Linked DNA regions of Alligator mississippiensis. The protein of the gene in region 2 purifies or fractionates together with the protein of the main gene of each other region. This does not show direct contact. Links are inferred from orthologs where the notes say so. Each region holds a gene or a part of one and is shown on either strand. Other genes may lie near its edges. The genes, in order: GALNT2 and TGOLN2.

Region 1 (11,533 bases), on a different chromosome or scaffold from region 2:
CAAGTTTTATATATCATGAGTTGGTTTCCTAATCCTAATTGCTAAGAGTTGGCTTTGATCTTGTGCCCCAATTGCCAGAGATGTTTGAAATTAAAAAGGCAGCGGCCCCTTCGATATTTCTAAGGAGGACATTCTGATCCACTGAACTTATATCATTGACTGCTTCATTCCCTGAAGCCAAAGAAGGAGCAATGGAAATAAATAAAATTTGAGGAAAAGCCTTTTTACAGTTCTCTTCCCCATATACAGAATCAACCAAGGCTATGCTACACAGTTACATATATTTTTAAAAAGGCAGCTTAAGAAACAAAGTCTAGCTGGACAATGAGACTTAGGGACAAAAAACTTGTGAAAAACAGAACTCAGGCACTTCAATCCAAAACTGAGATCCTCAAAATCTTTGCTCAACTTCTACCTAAGCCTGAAGCCAGCAAAAAACCCTGGACACTTCAGTTTTCAGCACTGAATTTTTGTTGATGCTTAAAGGTCTGCACCTGCCCAGGCTCAGAAGTGGTCTATTCTTGACAGTGTTAAGTAGCTCTGCACTAAGCTCAAGCCTAAAGCATGTCAGGATCCAAAATCAGGCATTCTTCTGCCTATTAAGCTTCAGGGCACAATCTGGTAGGCAGTCTCTGAGTATGTCTAACAGATTAGATTCTACACAAAGACAGGTGGTGCCTCCTTTTATCCAGTAGTTCAGTGAATGCAAGAGGCCTAAATTCAATTTCTTCCTCTGCCTTAGGACGGGAACGTAAAAATCGCTCAGCTCCCAGAAGAGTAACTTCACTATCAAGCTGTTCTGTGGTGGGGGAGGTTCTTAATCTCTCCTATTAAAGTCATTCCACATTTCATCAAATAATTAAAGATTCATTGGGCCAGAAAGAAAGAGAGAGAAAAAAAAACAGGATTTTATTGCCTGTTGGGTAGAGACCTGGATTCCAGTGCTTGCTCCAAACTGTTAGTTGTAAAGTATGTAAACAGTCAAATGGAACAGAAACCAAAACCCATGTTTCCCTCCCCAGACGAATGCTGTAACTACTAGGCCAGAGCCATGCTTGCATTTTCTGAACCTTTCAAGCTGCTCCAGTTTGCATGGAACAGCTTTAAATGAAAGGACAGATGGGCCCTCACCCAGTTTATAATCTGGGGCTGAAAACTTTCTCCTGGGGGGGGGAAGAGCTTTGAGTTTGAAAACCCCCAGGCAGGAGGGACTTGAACTTAAGTCTCTGACTTCATGCTGATTGTTTTAACCATGGAGCTATTGTGTAAAGAGAGCCAGGACCTCCTCTGGTGGTGTTCTGAATGACAGGCCTAAATCCTGTTTTTAAAAGAAAAAATGTTTGTGCATCCAGTTCAGGAGCAGGTTCAGATTTGTGAAACCCAAGTGGAGGGAGGCAGCCCAGAATTAGACCTAACCCCAACAAGGGATGAGATTTAAGATACAGCATTCACTGGTTACCAAAAAAATCAAACTGAGCAAAGCACGTTAGATTCTAATAGCCAGCAATTCTATTAAGTGGCAGTAAAGAAAAACGCCCAAGCAGAGTCTTGTCAAGAAACTGCACGGTTTCCAAAGCTTGTTGTATTTTACTCATTGAGACTAACAGCCAGACAGAGGGGGAGGGGAAACCTTATTCAGCATAAATTATGGATCAAGATTTTTACTCCAATATTAAGTTGGCTGATTTTATAGAGAGAGATGCTAATAAGCATCAGGAAAAAAAACAACCAAACAAACAAAAAACCCAAAATCACACAGAACCAGGCTTTGGGGGTTTTGATTATATTCTCTGACTGATTCCATTAAGCAAGATCCTAGCAACCAGTAGACACTGTATACCAATGTCCTTGGCATGTATTTACTAGCTTACATGGCTCCCACTCAGCAGACTGTTTTTTTCTAATTCCCATTCTGAGCTGCCCAACTCCTCCCATATGTTGGGAGCCTAAGCATCTAATACAGGACTGTGGATTGCACTACAATAGCAAGCTGCCTAAAGGTTGGGAGCTCCAGCACTCAGCATCAGCCTCATCCGTTTGTAGACTTAAATTCAAAAGGCTGAAAGCGGAGAACCCAAGGGACAAAAATACATATCAGTGCCAGACAACTCGAATAAGGGAGAAACACTACAGCCTTGTTCCCCAGCACGGGGCCCAAATTTGCACAGAAGTTGGCACCTACTAAAGTTAATGGAAACTAACAAAATCAACCAACAAGCAGGACTGGAAGCTATACCAGGAAAAACAAACAAACAAACAAAAAAACCCCCAGAAAATCTGGACTATGCCCTGAAGTGGTACATGACATCATCCTGATAGAAGCACGTGTTCTTTGTATAACCAGGCCTATGCAATTAAGAACTCTGTTTTCAAAATTTTTGACCGAACAAACCAAAGACTTAGGTCTACTAAAACCTATACTCAGGTGACTCTTGTGCACTTTTGCTGGACAAAAATACTTGAGAAGTAACAAAGAGTACAAGTCATGTATGCCATGATATGCAGTATAGCAAAACTTTCATTCATAAAGCTAAGACAGTTTGTGTTTTTACTTCATATCAGGGTTTGACACACTAAATTACTGAATCTTTTACTCGGCTTTTAAAAGCTATTGTACATACACATTTCCTTATTTATCTTCACTAAATGATTCCAAAGATTGGGATAAAATTTTGTTTCAGTGAGAGAAAACAGAGTACTAAATCACCAATGCAAGTATAATTGTTAATATCACTACTTGTTTCTTATGGTCAAAGTACCCATTTCCTCACTGATAGGCCATTACTTTAGACGGTTACACTATCGTCTCATACTAAACCTCTGGCTATGTTGCTGAAACCCCTCTCAGTCTTTAATTCCTCTTGCTCAAACTCCTAATTGTTCTGACCTGTACAGTTTAGAAAATTTTGTATAGAACAACAACTGATTTTCAAGTGTTGAGACAAGACTCACCCCCCGCCCATCCCTGTCAGTAATACCATTCTTACACAGCAGTGTGATGCTGTCCCAGATCAGTGCCCAGAGCTCTCATAAAACCTAGGTTTTTCTTCCTGCTCTGCTACTGGACTGGACTGGATTGCTGGGTAACTTTGGGCAAGTCATTTTGCTTATACCTTAGGTTTCCCCCAACGATAAAATGAGATTTCAGATGATAAAACCAACTTCCTAAGTAAAGCGTATCAAGATCCAACTGATAAAAAGTATTATAATTGCTAAGCATCAAAATAATTTTTCTTTGTACAAGCTTCCCAAGAACAAAAATTTTTGTCCTGGCTAACCTTCTCTTACCTCATTATATATCAGCTGTTCGAGTCAGTTTTTACATACAAAATACAGTAGTGTGATCTCCAAAGCTCAGTAAGACCAAAGTCTTAATTGCATCTCATGCCAGACCCATTTCTGATAAACGCACAACATCCACTTAAAAATGAGTTTGACGTTTAACTAAACAGTAAGCGTGTAACAGTCAATGCAATGCTTTCCTCCAAGTTGATGTACAGCATATTCCTTTCAAAATGTGAAAGATGAAGCACAGCAAAGCACTGAGCCATTTGCAAACTGATACAGAGCTCAGTTCTACAGACTTTTATTGATGGAAATATCCCTGCTTACAACAAGGACTGACTACAGGGTCTGGTCCTCAAAACACTTCCCGAATACACCTGTATTTCTAGGAACTGAACTGAAAAATGGCAATAAAATCCCATCTTACTATGTCAAGGCACATTAAGATTCAGCCCCCAAATAGATACCAATTCTTTAGTGAAACAATATTACTGAAGTTATCTCATCCTTCGCACCACCAAACCCTCCCTCTCCATTTTGGAGGTACACAAGAGGAATTACAAGCCAATGAACATTTAAACCCTTTCACTACACCAAAGGCACAATGTTTAGAGTCAAAGCTTTCTAGCGTCCCTGGCCTTAAAATTAAACCCTGCAGGGTTACAAGGGCCTGCTAATTTACCTCTCCAAAAATTAAACGTGTTGTTTTAAAAAGTCACAAGAAAAACCTACAGGATGACCCAGGGACGACCACATGCTCAGCCATAGCAGGACAATACTATGCATCTTTGGGGTTGGCCAAGCGCCCCCATGCACCAAAAGGCTCCTTCTAGACATCTGTGCCGATAGGAAAGGGTTTCTGCACCAGACTACCAGAGCCCCACAAGGGAAGGCAGAGGGGCCCCAGCTGCAAGGAAAGCCCCATCCCAGCGGTTCCCAATCTGTGGTACGGGTACCACCAGGGGTACACAGACAACCTGTCAGTGGTGCGTGTTGACAGATTTATTATAATTACTTGATATGACAACAATTTCCAAGTGGTGCTGCAGGTTGAACTAAAAAACGTGCTGGCGGTACTTCAGGGTGAACCGTTTTAAACGGACAGTGCACAATGTGTCCGAGTTTGGGAACCACTCGCTGCCCGTCCTATCCCTGGTGCTACAAGCCCCTCAGAGGTGTGTGGCCGCGCTGCAAGTAGAAGCCGGGGAGCAGCCGAGTGGCACCGAGAGCCCCGCGGGGTCTGGCAGGCAGCTGGGAGCCGGGGTCTTGCCCCAAGGTAAAGCCCGTGGGGGCGCTCTCTGGGTGGACAAATTGGGGGGGAGGATTAGAGGAGCTTTCCGCAGCTGCCCACAAGAGACAGAGCAGCGCGGCGGCAGGGAGACGGGGGCGCTGTCCTCGCTGCGCTCCGCTGAGGTGCCTCAGCCCGCCCCGGGCAGGCGGCGCCCTCCCCGCGGCGGGACGTGGCCGAGGCTGAAGTCTGCTCCTGCCCTCGCCTCCACGTCACGGGGCAAGAAGCAACGGCGGAGGGGAAAGTCCCGGCGGTGACGTGGGGGGAGCTCGGACACACACCGGGGGGAAGGGGGGTAACCCGGGGCAACGCGAGGGGAGGGGCGGCACGCGGAGGGGTTGGGGAGGGGGTCTCACCTTCCTGCCGCCGCCCGCGCCGGCTACGGCGGCGCCGCCCCCCGAGTACATGTAGTAGGCGATGCCCAGCACCCAGAGGAAGGCGAAGCAGAGCAGCAGCCGCGACCTGCGCCGCATCCTCCTCCTCCTCCTCCTTCTTCCGCCCCGTGCAGCAGCAGCCGCCGCGAGCACCACCAGGAAACGGCCAGCAGCAACCGCCGCCGCCGCGCAGGGTCAGGGGGCAGAGGGCGAACGCCCGCCCCCCTCCGCCAATCGCCAACCGCCAGGGGCGGGGCGGGGCGGAGCCAGCGGCGTCGCCATGGTTGCAGCACGCCGGGCCCGCGGCAGGAGGGGCGCGTGGCAGGGGCTGCCCCGCCCCCTCCCGCCTGCGCGCGGCGTTCTATGGGGCGGGGCCACTCCCTGCGTGGGGTTCCAGCCGCCCCGCCCCCGGGAGTAGGCCCTGGGCACGGATCCTGGCAGTCCTCGTGTGGACGCGGTGCTCGCCCCGAGGGAGGCGCTGCCCGTGCCTGCTCCCAGTCATAGCCCGATGCCGCCATTGGAATGAAACAGATGAGAGCTCTCTGCCCCCCAGGACAGCCCCAGTCTTCCTGCGCCGTGCAGGGGAAGAAAGAGCACCGGGTGCTCCAGTGGGTTGCCTGTCCCTTTGCTGCCAGGTGCTGTGATGGTTGCATAGACAGCTCGCTGTCCCTGCGGGTCCTTGCTGTTCACATGAGCCCCCTCAGCTCTGCTCCTGCCTTTAGCGAGCTGGTCTGCCTTTCAGCCCCCTCTTCGTGAGCTCTGCTCAGTGGTCCTGCATCATCCAAGAGACCTGGATGCGGAGCAACACTGGCCTCTTCTCAGGCAACTCCAATCTATATCTGACCCCTTGCTTTTGCTTGGGAGTGATGCTCCTCCTTCCTGCCTAAAGTTTGGCACCTCAATCCAGCTGTTGTGGTTGTCCCACACCCTGAATATGGGGCAATCCCAGTGTGAATCGGGAAGGTTGTCCACTAGCTCCTCAGCCAGTGCCCATGTGCCGCCAGGCCACTCTCAGCACTGCCACGTGTGGGGGGAAATCCTCTTAATCTCTCTCCAAGAACATCAGAGTGCCTCATTCCTTACCCTCCTGCTAGTCTAGGGTCAGGCTCTAAGGTTTCTTGAAGGAGCCCTAAATGAGGGTCACCATATATGTGAGGGTCGCATATTTTTTTGACCCAACCCATGACTGTGGAGGTTAGGGAACCTCCCCCTCCCGTGTTTCAGTAGCTTATGCACAAAATACTAAGGCCTAAGCGTGTTCTGCTGAACAGTCTTCTGAAATCTATCTGCCAGCTCTGCTTGGACTTCACATAGCAGATGTATGTGACTCAACATTTTAGTGAGTCTGTGTGATCTGAACAAGACTTGGCATCGCAGGGCCAGCAGTAGGATGTTGACTGTCTGTCTGCCTTGGACTCAGCCCATGTCCGTGGCTATTATCTGTCCCAATTCACAGCAGAACCGGTAATGCTTACCAACCTGTTCTGAAGCTCATGAACCCAAGTCCTCAGAGGGTCCAGGACAGGCACCCAGGGTCATTTCCCTGGGTAATCAGCCATGCCTGCCAAACATAACGGAGCAAAGCATGTGTAGAGCCGTGTATTGTGTTGTTCTACACACAGGCCAGTTCAGACAGGTTATATCAGTCTCCATGTCAAGTCTTTTCCAGCGTCCTGAGTCTCATTGGTTCATTCATAGAGCTCATTCATAGAGCTGTCCTTACCTTGTGTCCTTAGCTTCCATCCATTCTTGTGGATGGAAGTCTGCTGTCCTTAGCTTGTGGCTACTATAACCGAAAACACATTCCTTGTACACAACTCAGAAGGTGTTTTTTGATCAGGGAGCACCTTGAAAGAAGAGGCAATGGGTTGCACAAAGCAGTGCCAGAAGGCTTCCACGATCACTGACTACAATCTCCCAATGCTCTGTAGCCAACAATATTGTGCCAGTGTGTCTAATCTGGCAGAATAGATGTGTTACAGGAGGTTCTCTGTAAAAACGATGAAGTGGGCAACTGCAAGATAGCCCTTAAGCCTCCCATTATGGCCTAGACCAGAAGGATTTGTAGCATTCCTCATTTTATTCTGACCTTTGTTCCTCATAATCTTCAGCTGACACCCAGGATCATCACCCTTTCCCATCTACCCTGGTCTTGGGAGAATGCAGCACCCAACCCTTGACTGCTAGTATCTACACACAGCATGAAGGAGAGAGTATAATCTCGGTATGCTGGTACAGCACTAGCACCCTCACCCTAGCAGGTTGAGACCCTATCTACATGAAAAAAAATGTATTAATTTAACTACAATGTAATTTATTTAGTTAAAACAGTGTAAATCCCTGCAGAGTCACTCCTATTTTGCATTCACAGATGTGTATGAATTAAATTTCAGTCTGTAAGACATCTTCATGCACTCCAACTTTAGAAGTTAAATCCCTCAAGAAAAGGCCTGGTAATTGTGGTGTTTAAAAAGAGCTCCAGGGAACTCTACCTAACTCTACCTAGATTCTCCCACAAGGGTCAGTGACTCATGGAAGAATCCACACATCTACATTGCTTTGTTGCTTTTGGGACACTTCTTCCTGACTGTATTCTCTTCCCTTTATTGTTGGGGCCCCTGTTTAGTTTGACCCCATCCCCAAACAATGCAAGAGAGGTGCCACACATACAGCCTCAGCTCTAACTGGGGTCAACTGATTATCTCCAGCTGGTCAGCTGCTGGCCTTTTGGCATGCCACTAGTCTTCTGTTGGCCAGCTCTGGGCACCTTCTTCTAGAGTAAGAAGACATTAAACAAAAATAGGAAACTAAAGAGGACACAAAAACTTTCCATAACAATTAAGCTGAGTGTGTGCTTCAGCATCACAATGTGCAATTTAGGCAGAACATTCCTCAGCTCAAATTCAAAACCATTTGATGAATGCCCATTCTGACTGTCCCATATTTCTCTGTTCCTTCTGTCAACTGATGTCAGACCATCAGCCTCTGCCAACCCCCATGCCCTTCTGCCACTCCATCTGCACCAAGGGCTGTAGTATCAGCAGTCAGTCTCCAGGAGGCTCAACTCCAGGCAGCATAGGGATGTGGCAGGGGACCAAGCATTAGGATTGGCAGAAATTTAGTCAAATTAGCAGGAAAAGAAACAGTAGCTAATAGAAAAGAAGTTGAGAAATCTGGCCTTACTGTTCTCCCAGAACAGAGACTAATAGCTGCTTTGTTGACAGTCTCATCAAAGAAGCTGAAGACTGAACAGGCATGGAAGATGACAGGTGATCCTTTTATGTCAAAATTGACACTGCCTGTGCTGTACTTCTTCAGCGTCTGAAGATTTCAGTGAAAGGATGCATTCCTTTCCACCTGTCAAGCCCTGAATGAAGGAATGCAATGTGTTACAAAGACAGTTTGTGGAGCACAATTATTAATTCTGGAAATTTAAACAGGTGTAAAAAGTTGTGGCCCTTTAGTATGAATGATTCTTTCTTGAAGCTCAATTTCTTTCTTTCTTAAAGCTTTCTTTCTTTCAAAATTTTTGGTTTTGGAGACAAATGGTTTCCAATCACAAAACTGAGGGACATGCCCAGCTTTAACTTTTCAGATAAAATGTCTGACAGCACTTGGAATGAGGAAGAGAGCCATAGGGAGATTTTAGATCAAATTTTCATCTCCTCCCTTATCCTTTCCCAACCCTGCCCCCAAGATATGTCAGATACATCTAAGGAGAAGGCAGAAGGAAGGGCAGTCATTCAGCCCTACCTTCTGCTTGACCAGACTAACACAGCTAATTTCTCTATGAAAAATCCTTCAAATGAGCTGTTTGAACCCCATCCAGTACCAGGACCAGTTCTTCACTGGTCTGGGTCTTGGCATAGCTTAGAGCAGCTCTCATCTGTTGGCTGGGAGTGAGATAAAGTAAGAGCTCCTTTCCAGTGAAGCATTCCTTCACCAGACACATCTACAAGGTTTTGAGTGAGGGAACACATGCACAAAAAAATTAGCAGGCTCAATAACACAGTACTATTGATTAAATAATTTTATACAGAAAGCATTGCACAGGAGGCTCATCCCCACAAGCTAACGTGCAGTTAGCAGCCCCTCAAAGCGATTTCAGGGGCTACAAACCATACACTGTGCACATACACTCATGCATCACATTGCTAAATGCAGCGCAGTGGTGTTTTTTGACACTGGGGGATCCCTGCAGCTAAAAAAGTGGTGCAGCAAATGTGGCAGCAGTGTGCATTGCCAGAAACTGGAGCCTTGCCAGCCAGAGCCATGCTGGCTGCCAGCCAGGCTCCAAGTGGCTGGCTTCATACCGCTGCTTCCCCAGGAGGCCCCCAAGCTCCAGATAAGGCTGATGGGCCCAGCACAGGTACTGGTGCGGATGCGCTCTGGGTGTTGAAAATGTTAATTTCTGCAGCCTTCCCTAATCCCACTTACATATTACAAAGTCTTTAGGAACTGAGTAACAAGCTCCTACACACCTTACAAAATCTACCATGTACCCCTTTCAGACTCTAAAGATCTTCAGTCAGATCTTCAAGTACCTTCCTGACATTCACCGATTCCTAGCAAGACTCCTAACTAGACTTTTCACTTCAAAGCAAAATTAGCCACCCAGGCATGCAAAGCAAATTATTCCATAGCTGCAAATTTTACAGGCTTAGTAAAATAATCCACTACACATACTCCATCACAGTTTTCAAAGGTTTACAACTAAGCCAAATTAAAACTAATTTCCTCTTGAACAAGCAAAAGCACTTCTGCTTAAAGAAGGTTACTTCCATGCCAGGTTTCACTTTTCAACCTTCTGCTCATTAGGTTGTAGGAATGTTCATGAAAGATTGCATTAAATTATTTTAAAATAGGACTTTTGGTTCATTCCTGATATTCCAAAATGATTGTGCAAGCTTTGCTCAAGCATTCTCAAAATATTCACTAGAGGCCACATCCAGAAATTTTATCCTGACATGGAAACGTTAAGCACACGCATAAGTTCTGTGGGAAAATCCAGGGGGTTGTTTGATGTTTCTTCATTACACAATGGTAATAAGGAGAAATGGACTATCTCCTCAATCAAAGATGTTGGAGTCAACATGACCGTTTCAATTTTGCTTAGGTGCCAAGAGTTATGTCAGTTCAATTTTTCAGCCAAGTTTCTGATGATACCCAGAGTAGGCAAGTACCCTGGCAGTGGCATTCTTGGCTTCCAGAAACCCTTTTTACCCTCATGTTGTTAAAATCACCAGTAACAAATACTGCACCATGTACGTTTTAGCTGATGCGCCTGCCCACAGATTATTCTATGCAGGGCTTGGATACATTCAAACAATTTAGCCTCAAAGCTCTTTTACCCCAGACTGTTTCTAGGTAAATGTTAATGTTGATGGTGCTACATTGTCAGTTACAAAGTGTAAGGCAACTACTACTTCTGAAAGTAGGTTTTCATGCTGTTGCTCCTGTAAGGATCAGCTCACTAGGTCCTGAAATATTGGCATTTCAGCTCTATATTTTGTCACCAAAGTTTAGGATAGCTGCACTAGAGTTTGTGCTTTGCAAGATAAATTATCAGACCCTCTCCCATGCCCCTTTCCATTTGATAAAGTATAGCAGCAAGCATTCTTTGCATACGCTCATTTTTATGCACAGAGGAAACAGACCCTTCCCCCTCATAGCTGGTGATAATAAACAAAGAACACCTTGGCCCCTGATGGCTGACTTCATAAACACTTCCTTCAGTGACGGGCACATTTCCAGCCACCTTGACAACATGTAACAGTCCAGCCAATTCTGCAGAAACCTGTGCCAGCTATTTCCCTGCTTCCAACGTACCCTTCCTGAGCGAAACTGTAGTGCCTAAACTCCAGCAGATTATACTTGTTTGCCATATTCTGGACCCTGACAAGATTTCAGCCTGAGACATGATACAGAAACAGCTCTCTTAGAAAAGAAATGATGGAAGAAGAGAGATTCAGTCTTTGGGGGTTTACTGAAACAATGATCTCACCTTTGAGAGTATCTGATCGCTAACACCGAATCTGTGTGAATCATAGGTGGAGGAAGAAAATATTATTGGGGATGGGGCTGAGCACACACCCACACACACCACGCACACACACACACATGCACACACCATGCACACACACACCCACACACACTTCAGCAGGTAAGTCTCTGGAGGGGAAGTGGTAGAGGAGAGGGAAGGGACGTCTGTGAGGCAGATGGAGTGAGGGAGGGAGTGGAGCAGAGGCAGGAGCAGGAGCGAATGGGACCCTGGGGTGGGTGGTGGGATGGGCAGAGTCTGGGTGTTTTGTCTAGGGGCGCGGGGAGGCTCCTGCAGCTGCGTGCACTATGGGGAGCATGTGTCCCGTGGATTTGTGCATGGGGCAGAAGCAGGCTACTGCTGTGGGCTGGGCTCTGCGCCCTGCTGATGTCGCCTCAAGAGCCGCATGATGCCATGTGCATCCTGTGGCCAGGCTGCACCACATCCCCTGCCTGCCTGGTGGTGGCACGCACGTGGGGCTGTGCGGGTCTCAAGCAGTGGGACTCAGTGCCCAGCCCATAGCAGCAGCCCACCTCCACCCCATGC
Region 2 (10,661 bases):
TGGTGCTAGAACACCCGTCTGCTGCAACACGGTCCTTTGCGGAGGCACGGGCCAGCTTTCTCTGTGCAAAGGCTGTCCTGAGGAAGAGATTTTCAGCGGGGAGAGTGGGGGTCACGTGCAGCCTCTCTCTTCCCCACCCCAGGATCAGCCTGTAGACAAATAACTCCTTGAATTGGATTTCATGGGAAATTAAAGGCATGAAGAGACCTGTCAGAATAATTAAAGCCTGAACTGGAGCCAGACAGCTTCAAACAGATGTTGGCTTTCAGCAGGAGAGGATTTCTTTGTTTTACTCGGCATTTTCCCATACAGAAAAGGAACATCTGTTGCGATGCTTTGCCGCGCTCCTGAGCAGAGCTAGACGTGGATTATATCCCACTACCAGAGAGGCAACTGGCCCACCCGATCCAACAGTCGCTACTGCCCGGGGTGCTCCCCTCTGCTTCCCGTCGTGCTGCTGGCAAAGAGAGCAGGAGCCTGCTCCATGGTGGGACTGCTCCATTCACAAAGGAATACACTCATGCTGGCAGGGTCTGTGAGTCCTTCGTGCATTGGAGCTGATTGAAAGTTTGCCCCCCAGAGGCCAGGCTGGAAGTTTGCCCCCCAGATCAAAAGTTTGCTTTTGTTTTCAGCCCAAGACTGATTTTTTGCATGTGTTCCCCTTTCTCCCGACAAATGTGGGCTTTCCTGCAGAAAACCGAACATCCAAAATGTTGTGTGAGGTGCAAGGGCTATTATGCCGCATGGGGGAATAGCATGGGAGTATTTTCTCCGCAGGCCAGATGTCCTAGATTTCCCACCGGGCAACAAGACTGTGGTCTACACTTCTTCCCCTATAGTCTACACTTCTTCCAACCTTGTCTGATGCATTGTTGGAAAACTTGTCCAAGCAGGAAGGAGACTCTGGCCAGAGAGACCTGAGCAATGGTTCCCAGGAAAGACTGCAGCAGCATTTCCAACTAAGAACACATTTAGGTGTACAAACCTCTGCACAGCCCAACACCCACATATGTGACAGTAAAGACATGCTACCACTGACTCCAAAGAGGCTCCACACAGGGGCTGTGAATGACACATGCAGGTCACTTCCCTTGACTTCTCCAAATCCTGCCCAGACCTTTTCGGAAGAGGGTCAGTGGCACCCTGTCTTCTTGCAGAGGGATCGGTAGAGGGGGTTTCTTGCAGAGCTGGGGGCTGGGAGGACACCCAGTCATCGAGTGGGTATTCCCTGGCAGTCTGGGAAGGAGCTTGTCTCCCCAGGAGCTGGGTGTCTCCACCCTGCCTCTGCTGTGCATCTGCTCTGCTGGCATTGCAGGAGAGAGAAGGCAGGTGTCTGGTAAGCACCTGGTTTTGGTTAAATTCCCTGGGTCTAATTGTGCTATTTTTGTCTAGGAACATGCTTTTCTCACAGCCCTGCAGGCAGTCTACTGAGCTGCAAAGCTAAACTGAATCATGTCTCATTTTTCAAGGAGACAAAGCATTCAAGGGCTGGCACAATAACCGTGCAGGGGCTCCAGAGACACAGCTTGAGAACGGGATTTCTTGTCCCCTTCGATGCCCAGGATGGAGTGTGGCCCAACAGGGGGACAAGCAGCTGCCCAGCTAGACGGACCCTCTGCAGAGAACTCCTGGAACAGACATGGGGACTCTGAGGTGGAGACCCCAGCCCAGCCTGAGATGCAGCCTCAGGTACACCCCCAAACCTTGAAGAAAGAGGCTGTTTCAAAGATGTTGAGTATCTGCTGCTCCCACTGGGAATTGATGGCACTCAGCACTGCTAAAGCAAGTTCACCAACAGAGGTAGGGCCTTACCTTTTGCCACCCAAGTGAAATTGGTGACCTGAGTGTCTTAGGTCAGCACAGTCTGGTCACCTGGTGCTGGCTCTGCCTTCTCATTTCCACACTCCAAAAAGATCCTAACAAAGCATTAGAGCTGGCTCTGGTATTCGGTACCTGTGTAAGCCAAGGCTGTAGCTGCCTCCTGAGAGGTTCAGTAGCACGGAGTGGTCATGGTGGTGGGAGGACATGGTGCCAGAGTGATGGGGAATGGGAAGGACAGTGCACGAGGTCATTGCCATCTAAAAACAGCTTCTGAGGGCACACGTGCAGACACACACACTGCCCATGTGCACACATGCTCTTCCCTGTCTCTGCCCATGGCCCCCATAGGAAGCCCTTAGCATTAGTGGCTGGAGAGCAGGTCGGCTTGGCTTGGGGTGATATCCCCAGGGCCTTGGGGTCGTTGGCTGCCAAACCCAGACCTTGGCTCAGTAAAGTTCCCACGTCCGCTCTGGAAAGGACCTTGTGGAGGGGCAGAAGGCGGCAGAGAGCTGGTCAGCCCAGCTGACACTGGGAGTAGCTAGGATCTCACTTGTCTTCTCTGCCTTCAGAGCAGGGGTTCTTCTATCACCTCTTTTCTGTTGGCTCGTGGCAGCCATCTTGATCCAACCTCCCCCCACCCCGACCACCCTCGCTTCCCCCCACCACAACACTTCTTTCCCTCTGCCGCTCAGGCTATGCATTAATTGAAATGCCTAATGAGGTCCCAGGGGGCTCCCGCAGAGACGGAGCTAATTAGGGGCGAACCCAACTAACGGTGGGAAGTGAAACAGAGGCTCCTGTGAACCTGCCTTTTGTGAGCGGCTACGGGGGAGGAAGGCACCAGATGTCCTGCTTCCTCACTCTGTGCGCCAGGGACGAGCCAGCGCTTCCCGGGCCCCAGCTCGCTTGCCAAAGCAGCTGGTGCAGAGGCAGAGGCTACACTTAATACATGTTAATTAGCATCATTAAATTCTTCCATTTGCTAATTGTTTCTCCTTTTGATCCTTTATTCTGACCAGATTAGCCCTGGGGTGAAGGAACAGTGTGGAAGGGGGTTGGGGGGATATACTCACTGACAGGGTGAAGACTTCTTCATTCTCTCATAAGGGGTCTTAGACCAGGACCCTCAGCTTTGAAGGGCCCAGCAACTTGCTAGCCACTCGCCGGGCAGCCCTCAGCTCTGCTTCTGTCCACAGGGCCCTTGGGTTTCACCAGTCCCGGGGAAGGAGTTGTCTCAGCTTGAAGGACCACCAGGAAAATTCATGGGGAGAAGGGAAATTATGTGAGGACAAGTATTCAGAGTGGTCAGACTGCCAGGGATGGAGAGCAACCTCCTCCACTGGCCACCACCCTCTCGTGCCATGTGAGGAAGCAGCACCCCTTGGATAATATCACGGCACTCTGCATGTCTGGGATATCTGAGCGCTGTCCTCCGCTCTGCCGCTGCCCTGGGCATGTCACTTAGGCCTGGATTCTCCGAGGTGTTGATGTGCTTAAATAGGAGTCTGTGCTGAAAAGTCAGTAAGTGCCAACCCAAGGCCCTGGGAGCATGGCTCTCCTCTCAGCAGAAGCTGCCCTGATTCTTGTTGCTTTCCAGCTACCATTACCGGTCTGGTTAGATCAGTGAGGCCCCATGTCATGGAGGAGGTAACTAACAGAAGCAAAGCATAAGCTAAAGCCACCATCTGCCTGCTGTCCCCTTGCCTCCAGTCCCTGCTAGTGGTTTTTTGTACAAACGCTCTTCGGTGCACACACAATACTAGTCTTTCACCTCCTCTGCAAGGCAGAGCTGTTCCATGGCAGGCTGCCTTGGTACAGAAATTGCCACCAGCATCAAAGGCTTCCAGAAAAGACCCATACCTCAGCCACTTGCAGGGACTGGAGGCAAGGGGCCCAATTGCAGCATCACTTGAGCCATAGCTTTGTCGGCAACAGAATTCCCCCAACGTAGCTGAGATCAGAACTTAACCTTGCAAGTACTGATCTTCTCAGCTGAGTGAAGGACCGCGATTTCTAATCTGAAAAATAGCTAGCTAGATAGTGCCTTTCGGTCTTAGTGCTTCTGGACCTGTTGAGGGTCAAGTTAGCCTTGTCTTGTTAGCCTCCAGGCCTCCCTTGGGAAAGGCCAGCTCTTAGCTTTTTACTCAGTATCTGCTGATAGAAACACACCAGAGCAATTCTTCTGGTGGAAAGAGCTCAGAAAGCCCATGACTTGGCAGCACGGTTTGGGCATTTTAGATGCCTTTTTGATACCTCTGGGTTAATCATATGTAGATATCAGTGCAGCTACTGGTGCTAATAGTGTGGGGCACCCCCGTAAGGCTCACATTGCACCGAGTGAAGGTCACTGGTCTGCTTCTTAGTTATTCCAGTGCAGCTCCATTGATTTGGGCCCTGGATCTTCACGCTCTTCCAGGAAGTGAGCCCATCTGCTGAAACAGCCCATGATTATTTTCAGGGAATAGTTTGATTTTTGGAAAAAGCTTGGCAGGACTGTTACGTCTGATCGTGGTGCCCTGCCTTAGGATGGTAATAACGATTGAGCATCTGGAAAACCCACCACAGCAAGAGACTAATCTGTGTAAAAGAGAAGGTTACGAGAGTGAATTGGCCACAGGTTAGGAGCCAAAAATGTTCCAATTTGGGGGGTTTTGTGTGTGGAGGTCTTCTGTGCCTCCGGTGGAGGGTGATGGAGCCTGACTAGACCGCTTACAAGAACAGAAGAGGTCAGACAGCGGCTGGGACCAACCGTGTCTCACCCAGCACAGCCAGCTGGGGGCTTTCAGCTCTGCTGGAGCCAAGTTGGGCTTTGAAGGCAAAAGGGCGGATTCCACATCCCCGCAGCGTGGGCTGCCGTCAGCCGGGCCCTGGGCGAGATCCTCTTCTCAGCCTCACGGCGATAAAGGTGAACCTGCCTCCGGCAGGGGTTGGACTAGACGGTCTGCAAGTCCCCTTGCAGCCTGGCCTCTGCCATGATCCTATGAAAGACGGGGAAGGCTCGGTGGCACAGCTCTCAACTTGCATTGGTGTCACTGACAATAGTTTCCCTTCCTCGGGTGTTTAAAACCTCCCTCAGAGCTACTCCAGCCAGCCCTTTCTCTGAGTCTACAGGGGCTGTAGAGTCTGACCCGTCCGTGCCGGGGCTGTGGAGCTGTTCCTGGCTACAGGACAGCAAAGATAGGAGAAGTGAACAGGCTCCCTGGGATCCCGGCCCTTCTTGGCCAGGCGACAGTCGCTGGTTGCCTGGTGCCCGATCCACCACGTCTCGGAAAAAGATGCGCGAGGCTCCAGTGTCTGCTGTTGCCGGTGGAGGCCGGAGCCTCCCGGGAGTCGGCAGCACGGGGGTTTGCGTCGCCAGAGCCGGGCGCTGACCAGAGCACGAGCTGCCGCCCCGGGAACACGCGGCTGTTTCCAACCGGGGGGCCTCGCCCGGGCCCGGGCGGAGGAGCCGGGTCAGCTCTTCTGCGCGAGGCCGCCAGGCCCAGCGGCAAAGGCTCCTTGTGCAGGGAAAGGAAGGAGAGCCGCGCCCGAGGTGGCAACAGCGGGCCTTGCAGCAGGGCCGCCCAGGGGGCGCAGGCCCGTCCAGCTCAGCCGCGCGGCCAGGACTGTGCGCCAGGCGGCGCCCTTGCTCAGCTGTGGGCGCTGCGCCCCGCCCCCAGCCCCAATCATTGGATGCCAGCCCCGCCGCTCAGGGAAGCCACGTCCTCCTCCGGGCAGCCCCGCCTCCGCCACTTCCCATTGGCTGCGCGCCGCCGCAAGCCCCGCCCACGCGCTCCATAGACCTTCCCCCCGCGCCCGTTCGCTTTTCGGGTCTCGCGAGATTTTGCCAGCGGAAGTGTGTGCGGGTGATTCTAGTTTCCCGGAAGCGGAACGAAAGGCCGGTCTCTATGGCGGCGGCGCGGGGCTGGGTGCTGGCGGCGCTGCCGCTGCTGCTGGTCCTGGCGGTGCAAGGTCAGGAGGAGAAGAGCGACCCCGACATGGGTGTGGGCTGCTCCTGCGGGCTGCGCCGGGGGCCTGGGTGGGAGGAAAGGGGTTGGAGGGTTAAGGGGACGGGAAGGGGCTGGGGGTGAAAGGGGGTGGGGGTCTTGGGGCCTGCGACCTCTGCCCCTAAGGGCTGTTGTGGCTGCTGGGGGCAGGTGGGTTGGGCAGTGATCTCCCTGGATGGGTGCTCACAGTTGTTGTGCCTCTGCTCTTCCAACAGTTGTACAGCCAGACCTGTCTGCATCTGTGTCCAATCAGCTGCCCCTACAGGGCAAGAAAAATGAGTCATTATCATCCAAAACGACCCCTCAGCCCGCCCAGACCTCCTCCGAGCCACCGGTGGTGACTGCCACTGTCGAGCACACCCCCAAGTCTGTGGCCCCCGGTGGGCCGGCCCCCAAGGGCGACAAGGAGCCTGTGGCCCCCGGTGGGCCGGCCCCCAAGGGCGACAAGGAGCCTGTGGCCCCCGGTGGGCCGGCCCCCAAGGGCGACAAGGAGCCTGTGGCCCCCGGTGGGCCGGCCCCCAAGGGCGACAAGGAGCCTGTGGCCCCCGGTGGGCCGGCCCCCAAGGGCGACAAGGAGCCTGTGGCCCCCGGTGGGCCGGCCCCCAAGGGCGACAAGGAGCCTGTGGCCCCCGGTGGGCCGGCCCCCAAGGGCGACAAGGAGCCTGTGGCCCCCGGTGGGCCGGCCCCCAAGGGCGACAAGGAGCCTGTGGCCCCCGGTGGGCCGGCCCCCAAGGGCGACAAGGAGCCTGTGGCCCCTGTTGAGCCCACCCCCAAGGGCGATGAGCAATCTTCAGACCCTGCTGAGTCTGTCCCTAATCCACACCTGCCCAGGAAGCTGTCTCCCACGGAGGAGCTGGAGGAACCAGAGGAGGATGGAAAGATTGACAAAATCTCTCCTCCCAGCGGGGAGAAGAAGGACAGTGTCCCCATTGCCCCCAAAGACCCGTCTGAGAGCAGCCACTTCTTCGCTTACCTGGTGACCACAGCCATTATCGTCGCTGTCTTGTACATTGCCTATCACAACAAACGGAAGGTGAGATCTTTGGCCCACCAAAAATACAGAGCTGGCTTCATCTCTTCTCTCTTGAGGCTTGTTCAGTGCAGGGATCTGGAGGGCCTGTGTTTTGATCTTTGGATCGGTGCAGCTCCTGGCTGGGACCTGTGTCTCTGGACATTCTTGCCTGATCCCAGTTATGTGTGTGTTTTGGATGCACATGTGTTACGTATGGTAGTGTAAGAGTGATGTAGCCATGATGGTCCAGGTGTTAGGCAAGAGGCAGGGATTTCTTAGGGCACTGTTTTTTATCGGACCAGCTGTGTAGCTGGGGTAGAGTTAGACACGCTTCTGGATTCCAGACCTTCTTTAGATCTGACCAGAACAAATCTGCTAGTTCTTGATTGTGTGAGGTAAAGTCTAGAATATCTATCAAAATTTTCCAAAGTGTGTTACTGCTTTGGGATTGTCTGGTGCGGGGAAGGAACTCTTCAGTAAACTGGTCTGTCTTGATTTCTCTGCCTGGCTTTAGCTTCTTGATGTGCTTGGAAAGGTGAAAACCATTGACTTGTGGCTTTGACTAGCTCTACAGTCCTTGTCCGAGCTGCTGTGAGGTGAGCAATGAGGAAGTTGTGCCTGGGGAAGTGTTTTAGACACCTGTGAAAATTGCATGGCTTCAGCTAGGAGGCTTAGTGCTGGGGAGGCGGGAAACAAGGTGGGGTAACTGCTAAGATGTTTTATGTATTCACCTACTCCTTCATAGTAGGTGAAAGTTCCTCTTGGGTGCTGAGAATTTGCCAAGTGGTGACCTGCAGTATGGTGCTTTCGGGTGCACAAGGCAAGTGAAAGAGTTAGACGAGCCAAAGGTAATTGCTTGTTGGGTTGCTGTAAAGAGACCTTTACCCATGTTTAACTTTCAACTAGCAACTTGATCAGTGCAGAACAGGGGTGCCTGCCTCTTCGTGTCGCATGTGCATTTGATCCTGAGACTCTAGGTCAAAGATAAAGACTCGAAGGGATATTATATAGTTGATGGGTTGTCCTGGGTTAGGTGTGGACTGTCTGTTTACCCTTGGCAAAGTAAGAGAAACAAACTAACTAGATTTTTTTTTTTTTTAATATGCTTGAGGTGCTTGCTGTTGCTGTTTGGATCTGTGATGTTTGGTGCCTTGCGGTGACAACAGCAGCATCTTCCTAGTCCTTTCCTATACTAGCGTACCATGCTATTTTGGATTTGTTAGGAAATAATCATTTGGAAGGAATATGGGTGAAAGGAAGAAGCTGAATTTATAATGATCCTTCCTATAGACGCGCATCTTTTCTTGAGGTAGTGTCATTCTGGAGAAGCCACATGGTAATTTCTGCATGATGGCAAGACTTCACTGATAGTTCCTTATGCTCTTAATTGTCTGTGAAGTTTACTTGGAGACTGCGTTTCTTTGGGAGCTAGAAGAATACCGAAGAAACTAGTCTTTGCCTCTGATAGAATGGTTTGCTGCCTCACCCATGGAAGATAGAAGTGTCTCTTCAAAGTGGAGAAAATAATTGCTTACACTGTGCTGTTATGGGTGTTTTTTTGTTGTGGTCAGCCCCCATCAGTTAATCTGTTGCCCACTGATGGATTTATCCTTTTGGGTGTGTTTCTCTCCCTCTCTCTCAAGATCATTGCTTTTGCTCTGGAAGGAAAAAGATCCAAAATAGCCCGACGCCCCAAATCCGGTGATTATCAGAGACTGGATCAAAAGGTAAGCCTCAGTTGGCCTCCACTTCTTAACGCAGAGGCGAGTAAAATACGGCCTGCAGGTCATATTCAGCCCACCAGGCCATTCTATCCAGCCCATGGGGCCCCTAGAAAATTAATATTTATATGCCCTTGGCTCCTGTCAAAGATGACAGGAACCAGGGGCAGTAGGACCCAGGGTAAGGCATGGCAGGATCCTGCAACAGCAGGGCCCACCTGGTCCCACCCCCCAGGTGGAAGCCTCTGCTAACAGGGTAAGTTCAGGCAAGCAGTGGGGGCGGAGGGGGAGGATTGCAGGGCTAGCATGTTGTGCCATGTTCTTTACAATGCGAGAGGCTGTTCTATGCTCACAAGCAACTGATTGACATTTTCTTCCCTTTCTGTTTGCAGATATAAATCTGTTCCCTTGGAAATTCTGCATGTTGCTGGGCTGAGCAAGGATGCCAGAATGCAATGGCCAAGGAAGTGCTGCAACTCCCAGCAGCAAGGCTCCAGCCCTCCCAGCCACACTGCCATGTCTTGATCTCAGAGGGGGGTGGGGGGAGCAGGGAAAGTGCTTTTAGTTTTTTGCACCTGCACTTTGGTCATGTTAATGCTTCACTCTCCATCTTTTTGGATTCCCCTCCCTTCCCCTGCGCGCGCGCCCCTCCCCCCCCCCCCCCCCCCCCCCCCCCCCTTCCCCTTCACAGCTGCCTGAAACTGAGCTAGTTTTCCAGCTCTGGTTTCTTGCTTCCATTCTGTGACAAAGGGAAAAACCAAGGGAAGATGCAGCAAAGGACAGAATTTCTTTTGCACCTATACAATGTGGAATTGACTTCCTACTGTATGGACACAAAGGTCTCTGGCAGAGGCCTGCCTGCTGAATGAGCCATCTCAGTCTCCCTCTTCTTGGTCCATGGCGCTGTCTTTTGTACCGGCATGGTTGGTCTTGACAAATGAACATTATCCCCTTGTGTCCAATGTGGGTGGACGCTAAAATTCCTAGCCTAATTGCACTAGTTCCAAAAATGTTTGCCAAGGACTCTTTTGTCTGATTGGTCTCTTGATTCTCTGTGAGGACGACAGGGGTGGGGATAACATGATTGTCTTCGTACCCATGTTTGAGGTAACGGTGGAGTCAGCGCCTCATGCCTCTTTTGACCCCTTTTGGGGTTTTTTCCTGTCTTCAGCTTTCCTGATGGTATTTCTCCTCCTGGGCTCCCCAAAGCTCAGGAGACTGCACTGAAGACAAAGCGTTGAGGTGGGATGTGGTTAGGGAATGCCACAGATGCATGCATAGCTTGGTGCCAAATCTCCTTAGCAAGGTTTTACTCAGCTTTGTCTCTGCATGTCAATGCCTGCCTCTGAAATGTCACTTGAATGTAAGGGTTATGTGGACTCAAGTAGCTTCAGTGCTGGCAAGTAGCTGATACGCCTTTCCTGAAAGAGCGGGGTCCGAGCCCTGAATTTCCAGCCTGGGTTGTTCTAGTTGGCACTGGGTGGACTCGTATTGATCAGAGCTCAGCATAGTGAGATTGGTGTGAATTGAATGTCTGTGTGCAGGGTCTAGCTTTCAGTGTTTCTCCATTCAAGCACAGAACAGATGTTGAGAGGATGGGGTTGGTGGATGGCTGCTGACCATGGATGCATTGCACATGCATTTTGTGCATGCAAGTAGTAGTGTTGGAACTTGACTCCCTTAGGCAGGTGACTGAACTGTTGGTTGCTGTAGGAGGTCATATGATGCAGCCAGAGATGCCCTGCCCTGCCTGCTCTGCCATAGACTTGGCAAACTTGGTGTCACTCAGTGCACAGCTGATTTGTTCAGAATAAATGGGAGGGCATCCTGGCTAGTGCAGAAAGATTTCTTTCCAAGTGGGTGGGCAATAGAGAAAAAAGGGATTAGCTGATAGGATTGCTTCCAGCCATCAGGTTGACAGGTCTCCCCTTCCCCTTGCTTTTGCTCCAGTCTCACTTCACTTTGATTTTAGCTGAACGTGTCTTAAAACAGTCTGGTCCATGCAGAGCTGATTTCCTTGACACTGTGGAACACGTAGACTTATTGCTTGTGGAAACCAAGAGTTGGTACAGGCTGGCATTGCTGATTTTGTATTGTGAGGTATGGGAACGGGTTATTATC

Evidence for each region.
Region 1: the proteins of TGOLN2 (region 2) and GALNT2 purify together in Homo sapiens (affinity purification with mass spectrometry; 3 studies listed by BioGRID and IntAct, counting the BioPlex papers as one, with this or other methods). This does not show direct contact. The link is inferred for Alligator mississippiensis from reciprocal best matches to the Homo sapiens genes TGOLN2 and GALNT2.

Annotation. Positions count from the first base shown.
Region 1 is NC_081824.1:148,731,740-148,743,272, forward strand, and holds the start of GALNT2 (polypeptide N-acetylgalactosaminyltransferase 2), read right to left. Parts: upstream 5,139-11,533; 5' UTR 5,047-5,138; coding exon 4,930-5,046; intron 1-4,929. UniProt on the Homo sapiens protein: Catalyzes the initial reaction in O-linked oligosaccharide biosynthesis, the transfer of an N-acetyl-D-galactosamine residue to a serine or threonine residue on the protein receptor.
Region 2 is NC_081830.1:10,982,807-10,993,467, forward strand, and holds the start of TGOLN2 (trans-Golgi network integral membrane protein 2), read left to right. Parts: upstream 1-5,631; 5' UTR 5,632-5,708; coding exon 5,709-5,802; intron 5,803-6,022; coding exon 6,023-6,840; intron 6,841-8,462; coding exon 8,463-8,546; intron 8,547-8,932; coding exon 8,933-8,938; 3' UTR 8,939-10,661. UniProt on the Homo sapiens protein: May be involved in regulating membrane traffic to and from trans-Golgi network.